Oryctolagus cuniculus: one gene and its partners. The protein of the gene in region 1 purifies or fractionates together with the protein of each later gene. This does not show direct contact. Links are inferred from orthologs where the notes say so. Each region holds a gene or a part of one and is shown in the gene's direction. Other genes may lie near its edges. The genes, in order: SUV39H1, EHMT1 and MECOM.

The links.
Region 2: the proteins of SUV39H1 (region 1) and EHMT1 purify together in Homo sapiens (co-immunoprecipitation; 3 studies listed by BioGRID and IntAct, with this or other methods). This does not show direct contact. The link is inferred for Oryctolagus cuniculus from reciprocal best matches to the Homo sapiens genes SUV39H1 and EHMT1.
Region 3: the proteins of SUV39H1 (region 1) and MECOM purify together in Homo sapiens (affinity purification with western blotting; 3 studies listed by BioGRID). This does not show direct contact. The link is inferred for Oryctolagus cuniculus from reciprocal best matches to the Homo sapiens genes SUV39H1 and MECOM.

The regions. Positions count from the first base shown.
Region 1 is NC_091453.1:33,884,347-33,888,558, forward strand, and holds the start of SUV39H1 (histone-lysine N-methyltransferase SUV39H1), read left to right. Parts: upstream 1-1,273; 5' UTR 1,274-1,579; coding exon 1,580-1,598; intron 1,599-3,604; coding exon 3,605-3,750; intron 3,751-4,212. UniProt on the Homo sapiens protein: Histone methyltransferase that specifically trimethylates 'Lys-9' of histone H3 using monomethylated H3 'Lys-9' as substrate. Also weakly methylates histone H1 (in vitro).
Region 2 is NC_091432.1:237,913,211-237,916,856, forward strand, and holds part of EHMT1 (histone-lysine N-methyltransferase EHMT1), read left to right. Parts: intron 1-10; coding exon 11-155; intron 156-710; coding exon 711-788; intron 789-2,375; coding exon 2,376-2,491; intron 2,492-3,412; coding exon 3,413-3,499; intron 3,500-3,646. UniProt on the Homo sapiens protein: Histone methyltransferase that specifically mono- and dimethylates 'Lys-9' of histone H3 (H3K9me1 and H3K9me2, respectively) in euchromatin.
Region 3 is NC_091435.1:111,194,823-111,198,468, forward strand, and holds part of MECOM (histone-lysine N-methyltransferase MECOM), read left to right. Parts: intron 1-1,384; coding exon 1,385-2,741; intron 2,742-3,646.

The DNA.
Region 1 (4,212 bases):
AATCTCCTCTCCAGGTCCAGAGGGCCAGCGGTCATGTCTTCCATCACTGTCATGTCCCTGGAGTGGGAGGGCCCTGTCTGCCCAAAGAGACGGGGGTGGGGATATGGGGGGTGGGCACGTGAGAACCAGCATCTACACTCTGTTCTAGAATAGGGCTAGGGGACTGAGGTAGGACTTAGCTAAGCCCTTGACTGTTGAATTCGTGGCAGGCAGGGTAGAATGCCAGACAGGTTAGCCATGTTCCAGCCAGCTCACAGCTGGCCTGGTAGGCAGATGGAATATCTGTTGAATTAACTGCATGACTGTTTGGTGCACTATGTAACACGGGGACTAAGAGGGAGAGGAGCCACAGGAATCAGGCCTGGCCTGAGGGAATGGAGATACCAGATCTGCCACCAACGGTCCACCTCCACTGAATCACGGCACACTCAAGGGCCTGGCTCCATGCTCTGCTGGCTGACCTGTCACCCTCTAGATGCTGAGATCAGTGGGCTACTGACTACGATGAGAGGCAGGTGGAATGGGTCACAGGGCAGCTGGCCAGCAGCAAGACCGACATAGCTGCTTGCCTCGATGGTTCTATGTGGTTATGGACCGTGCGCCCTAACAGGATGCCAGCCTCTCCCAGGGGTCCAGAGAAGCAGAGGGCAGTGACAGGTTTGAAGGACCCATGGTCCGTTGCCTGAGGCTGAGATGAGTCGCCGGGGAAAGGCCAGGCTGGCTGAGCCAATGACAGGTGGCATGGAAACATAATTGTCCCTCTAGTTGCTATGGCTCTGCTCTGGGGCCTAGCTGGGTGGTGTGCGTGGGGTGTAACCAACGGCAGCTTGTCCTGACCTAATCACAGCCTGCCTGCCTGCCTGCCTGAGGCCAAGGCTGGATGCTGGAGCTGATGAGAGGATCTACCTAGGAGCTGGTCCCTGGGCAAGGGCTGCTTGACTGGCCCGCGCCATTGCATTGCGGGGACCGTCTGCGGGAAGGGCAGCCTCGCTAACAGCTGGGTGCCTGCCTCCAGGGAGTCGCAGCTGGCCCAAGGCACAAATGGATGCTGCCATTGACTGACAGAGCATGTGAAGGAGGCGGGGCCTGGCGAGACACCTGCCTGGGGAGACTGACCCATCGCCTATTTGAATAGGACAACTGACTGGGCAGCTGTCCGTGGCGCTGCTCCACGCTGGGTCACGGCCTGCTTGGGGTTAAAATGTGGTGACGGACTGACTGACGGAGGTAATTGGGGGTCTGACAGGACGGAGAATCCCCCGTACGACTGGCTGACAACGTGATTGGCTACCAGCGTGACAGACAGACCGGCGAACGGGCAGGGCCTCGGGCACCCTCAGCTACCGCTACCGCCGCCGCCGCCGCCGCCCAGACGCACTCTGGGAAAGCGCGGCGAGCACCCGCCTCCGGGACCGAGCCGGGTGGCGGGGAGGGGTCCGGTCACGGCTCGCCGGTTGGTCCTCGCCGGTGCTGCTCGCGGGGAGGCGCGGCCAATAGGCTGCGCGTTCCCGGCCACGCCCGCGCGAGCTCTCTTCTCGCGAGGCCGGCTAGGCCCGAATGTCGTTAGCCGTGGGGAAAGATGGCGGAAAATTTAAAAGGTGAAGCAGTGGCGGCAGAGGCGCGGGTTCGCTGGCCGGGCCGGGTGGGCTGGAGGGGTGGCGTCGCGGGCTCGGGGTCCTGGCGTCCAAGGCCACGGAGCCCGGAGCCGGAAACCCGGCGCAGAAAGGAAGGGGCTCGGGGAGCGCGGGCCTGGTGCGCGGGGCTGGGCGGGGCTGAGGGGAGGGGGCGCGCTCCTCGGAACGCGGTGGCCGCGGGGCTAAGTGGGGACGCGGGAGAGGGGCGCGCGCGTTGCAGATCACGACCGGAGCGGCGCGCGCACGCGCAGGGGCTTGTCGGGGAGGCCTCGCCCGCGCGCGGGAAAACCGGCCCCCGGTGACCGTTACCCCTACGGTGTCCACGCGAGACGCCGGAAGGGGAGGGAAAAGAAGCGGGGACGGACCCCCAAGGGGGCTCTTCAAGAGAGAGGGTTCCTCCAGCTGAGGGGAATAGGAGCTTCCCTCTTGGGAGAGCCGGACTCCCCCATGTGCAAGGAAAGCGGGGTGACCATGTTGGGGGAGCTCCTCTATGTGCGGACAGCTGCGAGGAGTGTGCGTTCCACAAGTGGGAGGGGGACCTCTGCGAGGCAGGAGAGCCCAGTTGTGGTCCGCGCCTGAGCCCGTGGCAGGAGGTGTTAACAGGGACCACTTGCGAGGGTTGGAGGGGGGGCGGATTTCACGTGTATGCGAGGGGATTGCATCGCAAGGAGAGGAAAGCGTGGGCCCAGGCTTAGAGTCTCCACTAGGCCTTGCCTAGGGGGTGGGGGGAGCCCACGGAATAATTACGAAAAGCTCTTGTACATTTCTAGATTGACATCTAGGCTATTTCGTCATAAGTTTAAATAGGCTGGAGTTTTGTAATGGCAGGCAGGTAGCAAATATTAGACAGTTTTGAAAGACGAAGTGGGGACGTGGAGTTGAAGTGCTCTGTGACATGCTTTGATAAAATGGCTTCTAAAGCATATTAATTAAGAAGGTGCCTTGCATCAGAAAGAAGGATACATTGTTTTTAAAAATCCGTCTTGAATGATCTTGGTAGCCCCAGAAAGATTCCAGGTATGTTTCAAAGAATGGATGTCACTAACCTATATTGCTTTGCCTGTTGCTGACTTCAGAGCGGTTTCACCTTTCACAGAAATGTGATTGAGACAGAAAGTCAGAATGCAGTGTGGAAGAAACAAACTTTGTAGGTTTAAAGTCCCCAGACTAACCATTCAAGGAAGCTTCCTGTAACATAGTATCATTCCACAGTCCTGTAGTCATCATTCCAAAATCTGAGTGCTGAAAGCTTTTTCTTAAATTTGGCACCATTCATGGCAAAAGGAGATTGATTATAAGGTCGGACTGTCCAGTGAGGTTACCTTATCTTACATCTTTATTTCAACTACTTAATGTGAACCTTTGCACTTTTGCTACAGAGCGATCAGTGCACTTGATTATGGCTTGATGTGCCTGTCCAGGCTGGGAGTGTTTGCACATGGACAGGACATACCTAGAGCTACACTTCTAAAATCCAAAAAAATGCTGAATTCTAAAACTCATCCAGCCCAGGAGCTTCAGATAAGGGGTTGAGGACCAGTCTTTCCAGTTATGCCTTTGTTTGGTGCCCTGGAGGTTTTAATCCCCTCCCCTCCCCACCCCCTCCCTGGGCAATGCACCCTACTGAGATGGGGGGGGTTGTCCCTTTCTTTTGCAAAGTGGAAAGAAAGGTGATCCAGAACCTAGGTTGTTTTAGGACTGGTGTAGAGGGAGTCTGAAGGTCTGGGAAGATTCCTTTAGGCCAATCCCTATAGCAAATGGCACTTGGCGGCACTTTGAAGTTCACTGCCCCAGGGGTAGCCTTGGGCAGTAAGCACTGAGGTTCCCTGGAGTGGCTGTTGCAGAATTTTCCACTTTGGGGAAGACCTGTGGGGTCAATTTCACTACGTCTGGGGTAGCCCAGAGAGGATTTGGAGCCCCTGGCCAGGTCAGGCTGCCCAGTAATGATTCTTTCCGCCTTGTCGTTCCAGGCTGCAGTGTGTGTTGCAAGTCTTCTTGGAATCAACTGCAGGACCTGTGCCGCCTGGCCAAGCTCTCCTGTCCTGCCCTTGGCATCTCTAAGAGGAACCTCTATGATTTTGAAGTCGAGTACCTGTGTGATTACAAGAAGATCCGCGTGAGTCTGCAGTGACCGGGCCCTAGGGGAAGGGGGTAGATCTTGGGAAGTTGGCTTCCTACTGGGTCATGTTCCCGCCACCCCCCCCAATCTGTGCCTAAAAGGGAAATTTCTCTTCTGATCCTGAAAAACTAGGATGAGTAGCCTCTCTCCCCTCCCCATTTTACAGGTAGGAAAACTAAGTGGCTTTCTGAGGGGGCAGAAGCCAGAATGAATCCCCAAGTAAATGTCTCATGCCACGTCCCTAGGAAGGTAAACCAATCGCGGAGACTGAGATGCTAAGCCCAGGAGTGAGCTGGTGATAGCTAATGGTCACTGGGCACTTTCAGTGTGCCAGGCGGTTCCTCTCAGAGACTCATTTAATCCCTGTGCCTGGAAACTGTTAAGTATTAACTGCTGTCAGAGAAGGTACCCGCAAGAGAGTTAAAAAACAGGCCGGAGCCAGCAAGCCTTGTGTTTAAA
Region 2 (3,646 bases), on another chromosome or scaffold:
CCCCTGGCAGGGACATCGCCCGGGGCTACGAGCGCATCCCCATCCCCTGTGTCAACGCCGTGGACAGCGAGCCGTGCCCCAGCAACTACAAGTACGTGTCTCAGAACTGCGTGACGTCCCCCATGAGCATCGACAGGAACATTACTCACCTGCAGGTCAGTGGTGCCGGAGGAGGGGCCACCGCGGGCCAGGACAGGTGCAGAAGGGGCCTGCGGCCTCCTGCCAGGAGGGGCGTCCTGAGTCCCAGGCTGGGCTTGGCCCTGGGCTGCACTCTGACCTGGATATGGCCCTGAAAGGCAGAATACAGCAAACACCAGCTGCCCAGCCCCTGACCTCACTGGGAGCTGTCACCCACAGCCTGTCCCTTCCTTGTCTGGCCAAGATCAGCTGTGTCCTGTGGCCTTGCTGGTGGGAGCTCCCTGGCCTTGGGCTCTGTCTGCTGCTGTCCTATAGAATAGCCTCCAATGCAGTGCGATTTCTGTAACTTCTTCCTGAGTGCTGGCCCCTGCCCATCTTTTCCCTTGCTGACCGCCCACCTCCTCCTCCTGCAAGCACTCAGTGTGTTCCTTAGCGTCCCAAGCACTCCCACTCCCCGTGGGGCCTGTCTCAAAGCACACGTCAGAGGGTAAGTTGCAGAATTGTGACTATGACCTGGAGAGAGAAGACACAAGAAGAGACTGCCCGCTGACGGTGCCGTGTCTCTGTTGCAGTACTGCGTGTGCATAGATGACTGCTCCTCCAGCAACTGCATGTGTGGTCAGCTCAGCATGCGCTGCTGGTACGATAAGGTGAGGAGACCCTCCGCGTGCCCCTGTGCTGGGGTGGAGAGTTCTGTTGTGGGATTTACAAACGCGCTGATCTTAACTCCCTGATTCCAAGACTGTTGTGGCACTTTGAGAAGGAGGTGGAGGGGAGTCAGGTGGGGAAGAGGCAGCAGACCAGAAGACACAAGAGACTGCTCTGAGCAGGTCCTAGGGCGGAGGAGTGGGCTCCAGAAGTGCTGGGGGTTCAGGCCAGCATCCTCTGGCTGCCTGCACGTGGGGAGGTCGGGGGGGGAGAGTGGTTAGCCACACGTGCTCCCAGGTGGTCAGCCTGGCCTGGCCATGGAACATGCAGCATCTCTGTTGTCTGGTGTACTCTGCTTTGTGCTGGTTGAGCGTGCGTAGCCTGAGAGATGAAGGCCACAGGCTCAGAAGTGACCAACAAGGGCTGGTGGGAGGAGCCCAGTGTGGAGGCAGCTGCGGGGAGACAGGAGAGAAGGGCCTCTTGGGATCACAGGTGCTGTTCAGGAAAGAGCTGTCCAACAAGATGGGGCTGTGACTATTGGCTTTGTGAGTTCCGAGGTCATTGGTGGCAGTAGAAGCCAGAGTATTCTGAGGTAGCAGAGGTGGGCAAAGGTGGAAGCAGCAGTCCACTCTGCAAAGTGGACTCCACATTAGAAGGGTGGTGATGGGGTGAGTGACCCTGGTGTTGGGGGATGGGATTGGAGGCATCGGGGCTCACGTCCAGGGTCTGTGTCCTCTGTGATAGGATCGTGCGGAGAGTGGGTGGGAACGAGCATTCCAAGGACAGCCCTTACTCTCAGAACACTCATGAAGCTGCCGGGCCCCAGGACTCACTGGCACAGCCCTGGTGCACCCAGCCCAGCATCAGGGTGAAGAGTGGGATGGGTCAGGTGGCCACGCCCCTACAGAATTGGGGTTGACAAGGCAGTCCACAGAGAGTGCAGGACAGCCCAGGAGCCAGGCCATCCTTGTGGAGCAGGGGGACCTGTGCCCTGGTGGCTACAGTGAACAGAGAGAACAGACCTGCTGGGGCTTCTGGTCTACAGTGAGCAGAGAGAACAGACCTGCTGGGGCTTCTGGTCTGAGCCTTGCCCTGAGTGCACAGCTCTGCCTGGCTGTTCCCTAGGTGTGAAAGAGTGACCAGAAAGCTGTCTGGATTTTGTTCTTTGTTTTGTTTTTAAGATTTATTTTTTTAAAGGCAGAGTGACAGGTGAGAGACAGAGAGAATACCTCCTATCCACTGGTTCACTCCCCAAATGGCCACAACAGCCAGGGCTGGGTGAGGCCAAAGCCAGGAGCCCAGAATCCAGCCAGGTCTCCTACATGGGTAGCAAAGACCCAGGCACTTTTGGGCTGTCTTCTGCCCCCTTCCCAGGCACATTCACAGGGAGCTGGATCAGAAGCAGAGAGCAGCTGGGGCTCGAACCAGGCACTCCATGGGACGTTGGCATTCCAATTGGTGGCTTAATCCACTGTGCCACATCATCGGCCCTCCCTGGACGTTTACCTGTTGGTATGAGCACTCGGTGAACACGCCGACTCTGCTCATTTACGAAGAGTGGCGGGTCCTGATGGTGTGTGTGTCCACAGGATGGCCGGCTCCTGCCAGAGTTCAACATGGCGGAGCCTCCCTTAATCTTTGAGTGCAACCACGCCTGCTCCTGCTGGAGGAACTGCCGCAACCGTGTCGTGCAGAATGGTCTCAGGTGAGCGGTGCTTCCCACCACAGCTCCACACCCTGCTTCACGTTGAGTCACGAGGTCCTGACAGCAAGAATGTGGGGTGTCTGCAGGTGGAGCGGGTGATCTTCCTCGGACACAGCACGGAGATCTGCTTCCCAAGGGAGCAGGTGGCGTGGTTACTGTGTTCCCAAGTTCATTCACAGTCACTGTAATCCCGGGAGATCTGCTTCCCAAGGGAGCAGGTCGCGTGGTCACTGTGTTCCCAAGTTCATTCACAGTCATTGTCATCCCATCGCATACTCAGGCATGCCTGACTGCCCCATGCTGTTGGGGCTCTTGCCAGACTGCGCCGCCCCCTCATCCTGTAGTCCCCAGTGCCCTCCTTCCAGCCACGAGAACAGAGCCCCCTGACCACCATGAATATGTCTGAGTTACGAGGGGAAATCCACGTGTGCAGCGGATTGGGCTGGACCAAAGAGCAGTGTGCTTGCTGGTGACCAGCCCATGCCCCGTATCCCTGTGTGTGCTGAAAGTCCTGGACACAGGGGACCCAGCTTCCCCCACTGCCTTGGGCACCAGTGGATAGGCTCGTGCCGTGGGCGGGATGCTGGGACACACATGGCTCTGAGGAGTCCTTGTGTGTGGTCTGTGCCCCCTCAGCTGGCCTCCCCACGGCCTGGGTCCTGGCAGAAGGGCTGCCACTGGTCCTTACCCAGCCATGTCCCCCATGTTACAGACAAGGAAATTGAGGCCAGGCCAGAGCCAGTGCCTGGCCGAGCTCCCAGGCCATTTCTGGGTTCTCGGCTGCCTTTGAATCTGGCGAGCGCTGCCATTTCTAGATCATAGTATTTCCTCAGTCACCATTCACGTCCCTATGCACAGCTGGGCTCTGCTGCCCGTCGTGTCCAGCACGCAGCAAGTGTCCACCTGTGCACTGTCTTCCAGGGCGAGGCTGCAGCTCTATCGGACACAGGACATGGGCTGGGGCGTACGCTCCCTGCAGGACATCCCACTGGGCACCTTTGTCTGCGAGTAAGTGAGACCTGCCGCTGCCTGGGTTGTCTCAGAACCAGTGTCCGCAGCAGGGTGGCACGAGGGCCGGGAGGCCCTGGGTGTGCAGAACCGCATTCCTGAAGGTGCCTGCTGCTCTGTCCCCAGGCCTCTGGCCATGCCTTGACT
Region 3 (3,646 bases), on another chromosome or scaffold:
ACGCTTTGACTCAGGAGCTCAACCATTCTGCACTTCCAGGCAGTCATCGTGTGCCACAATACACAGGGCATTTTGTCTTCCATTTAATTTCTTAAAATAAATGTGTTTCAGGAATGGCCAACAGAGTATATGTTGTTTCTGCATGTATTAAACATGCACAGAAACATTAAAGTAAACTCACATGGACGATTAGCTCATTTACAGCAAAGGAAAATAAAATAAAATACGATACTTTGAAACAGATATCATAAGCCTGCTGACCTGTGAAGTGAGTGGGATTCTTTCTTAGCAAGGGAATCCTTCGGGGTTGCAAAGTTTGGTCTTAAAATATGCTTAGATCTGATGACACATCCATGAAGAAGAAAGACATTCCACTTTCTTGGTAAATTCCTGGCAAAGGGGGCTATTTCACAGCCGTACCCACTGCTGCGTCGTCCTTGCTGGATTGGAGCACTCCCAGCCCTCTCCCCTGCTTACCACAGTTGGCTGTCACACATAGAAGTCAAGGCCTGAGATAACGGGTGAAGATAGGACAACAGTGGACATGTTTCCCAGGAACGGGGGTTTCATAAATGCAGGAAGATTAGCACAGCCACTGGTGTGAGGGGAAGTCAGAGGACGTGATCATAGTTCATGGGAACCAGCAATGCAGGATGGGCTACATTCAATTTAGTTTCCTTTGCAGGCTTAAAATAGAGCCATTGTAAATTATGTCAGTCTTTCTCAAATCATGAAAATGATTGTTAAAAAAAGTCTCAGAATACACAATGTGCATTGTTATGTGGCTTTGATGTGTGAATGATGAGAGTGTATGATATAATGCTAATTAAATAACAGTAGAGCAGGCACAGATATTCTCTTCAAGGGGAGAGGTATTAAAGTGAAATTTCTGGATGAGGGAAAGGCCGTTCTATTTTGTCTTGGGTCCTACGATGTAGAATTCTTTAACTTGTCTAAAATTAAAAGGGTTCCTTTTATGCTTCATACCTAATATATCTTAAGACTTGTGATTTTTTTTAAAGATTCTATTAGTGTCATTATTGGGTGGGGAGTCAGTGCATGCTGGAATTTGACTTTTTCGGAAAGATTTAAATACACAAATATTATGCAAAATATTGTGCAGTGGGGGAATGACAAAATCTTTAAATATATATATATATATATATGGAATATTTGTGCTGCCTGGAGACATTTGTCAGGTTGGATGCCTTGCTTTGGAATCTAGTAAAATGGGGGTTTTCTGTGTTTGGAGCATCCAGATTGTACCCCCGATATCTTTTCCTGGCTTCTTAATTGAAATTTGGGGTAAACCAATTGTGATACTTGCTAAATTCAGAAGCAATTGCCATAAAGCCTGAGATTCTTTTTTGTTGTTTGCACACAGGTGAGGTCTGCCATAAATCCTATACTCAGTTTTCAAACCTTTGTCGACATAAGCGCATGCATGCTGATTGCAGAACCCAAATCAAGTGCAAAGACTGTGGACAAATGTTCAGCACTACGTCTTCCTTAAATAAACACAGGAGGTTTTGTGAGGGCAAGAACCATTTTGCGGCAGGTGGATTTTTTGGCCAAGGCATTTCACTTCCTGGAACCCCAGCTATGGATAAAACGTCCATGGTTAATATGAGTCATGCCAACCCGGGCCTTGCTGACTATTTTGGCGCCAATAGGCATCCTGCTGGTCTTACCTTTCCAACAGCTCCTGGATTTTCTTTTAGCTTCCCTGGTCTGTTTCCTTCCGGCTTGTACCACAGGCCTCCTTTGATACCTGCTAGTTCTCCTGTTAAAGGACTATCAAGTACTGAACAGACAAACAAAAGTCAAAGTCCCCTCATGACACATCCTCAGATACTGCCAGCTACACAGGATATTTTGAAGGCACTCTCTAAACACCCACCTGTAGGGGACAATAAGCCAGTGGAGCTCCAGGCCGAGAGGTCCTCTGAAGAGAGGCCCCTTGAGAAAATCAGTGACCAGTCAGAGAGTAGTGACCTTGATGATGTCAGTACACCAAGTGGCAGTGACCTGGAAACCACCTCGGGCTCTGATCTGGAAAGTGACATTGAAAGTGATAAAGAAAAATTTAAAGAAAATGGTAAAATGTTCAAAGACAAAGTAAGCCCTCTGCAGAATCTGGCTTCAATAAATAATAAGAAAGAATACAGCAATCATTCCATTTTCTCACCATCTTTAGAGGAGCAAACTGCGGTGTCAGGAGCTGTGAATGATTCTATAAAGGCTATTGCTTCTATTGCTGAAAAATACTTTGGTTCAACAGGACTGGTGGGGCTGCAAGACAAAAAAGTTGGAGCTTTACCTTACCCTTCCATGTTTCCCCTCCCATTTTTTCCAGCATTCTCTCAATCAATGTACCCATTTCCTGATAGAGACTTGAGATCGTTACCTTTGAAAATGGAACCCCAATCACCAAATGAAGTAAAGAAACTGCAGAAGGGCAGCTCTGAGTCCCCCTTTGATCTCACCACTAAACGAAAGGATGAGAAGCCCTTGACTCCAGTCCCTTCCAAGCCTCCAGCCACGCCTGCCACAAGCCAAGACCAGCCCCTGGATCTAAGTATGGGCAGTAGGAGTAGAGCCAGTGGGACGAAGCTAACTGAGCCTCGGAAAAACCATGTGTTTGGGGAAAAGAAAGGCAACAATGTTGAATCAAGACCAGCTTCAGATGGTTCCTTGCAACATGCCAGGCCCACTCCTTTCTTTATGGACCCTATTTACAGGTAAGGGCCAGTAGGAGATGATGAAATGTGAGTGCAGATACGAAAGGTGGTTTTAACACTACAAACTCCCATCTTCCCCAAAAGGTTTTTTATTATTATTATTATTATGAGAGAGTCAAGTTGTTTGATCTAGTGAAATCTGTTTTTTTTTTTTTTTAATTCAGAAAATTGGCTCTGTAGGTTTCGACTCATTTTTGGATATCTCTGAGTTTGGAATAAGCCAACAGAATTTCTTTCCCATGACAATAAATTTATTTTTAAACATTGTTTTTTTGGAGTGGAAAATATGTAAAAGTTGTATTTGAAGTGATTTGTCAAGTGGCAGAAGAATGATACTCCTGGAGGATTAATGCAAACATGTATGGGTACCTTTATATGCAAGAGTCTACTCTGTGTTAACCCATCAACACATCCTTTGCATCTGTTCTGTTTCTCAATAGATTTCTTAAGAGCTCTAAGTAAATGTAATGTTAATCACAAAAATCTGTTTTGTATATAACATGAGTAGTTCTCCTAAAAGAATCTCTATTTTTTACAATGATTTATTTATTTATATGAAAGGAAGAGAGAGAGAGAGAGGTCTTCCATCCATTGGTTCACTCTCCAAATGACCACAACAGCCGGAGCAGGGCCCATATGAAGCCAGGAGCCTGGATCTTCTTCCAGGTCTCCCATGTGGGTGCAGGGGCCCAAAGACTTGGACCATTTTCTACTACTTTTCCAAGCACGTTAGCAGAGAGCTAGATCAGAAGTGGAGCAGCCAGGACTTGAACTAGAGCCCATATGGGATGCAGCACTGCAGGTGGCGTGTTCACCCACAACGCCACAATGCCGGGCCCAGAATCTATATTTAATGGCTTAATTATTCAGGTTTGTTTATGAATCCAAAAATTCTTTAGGTGAAA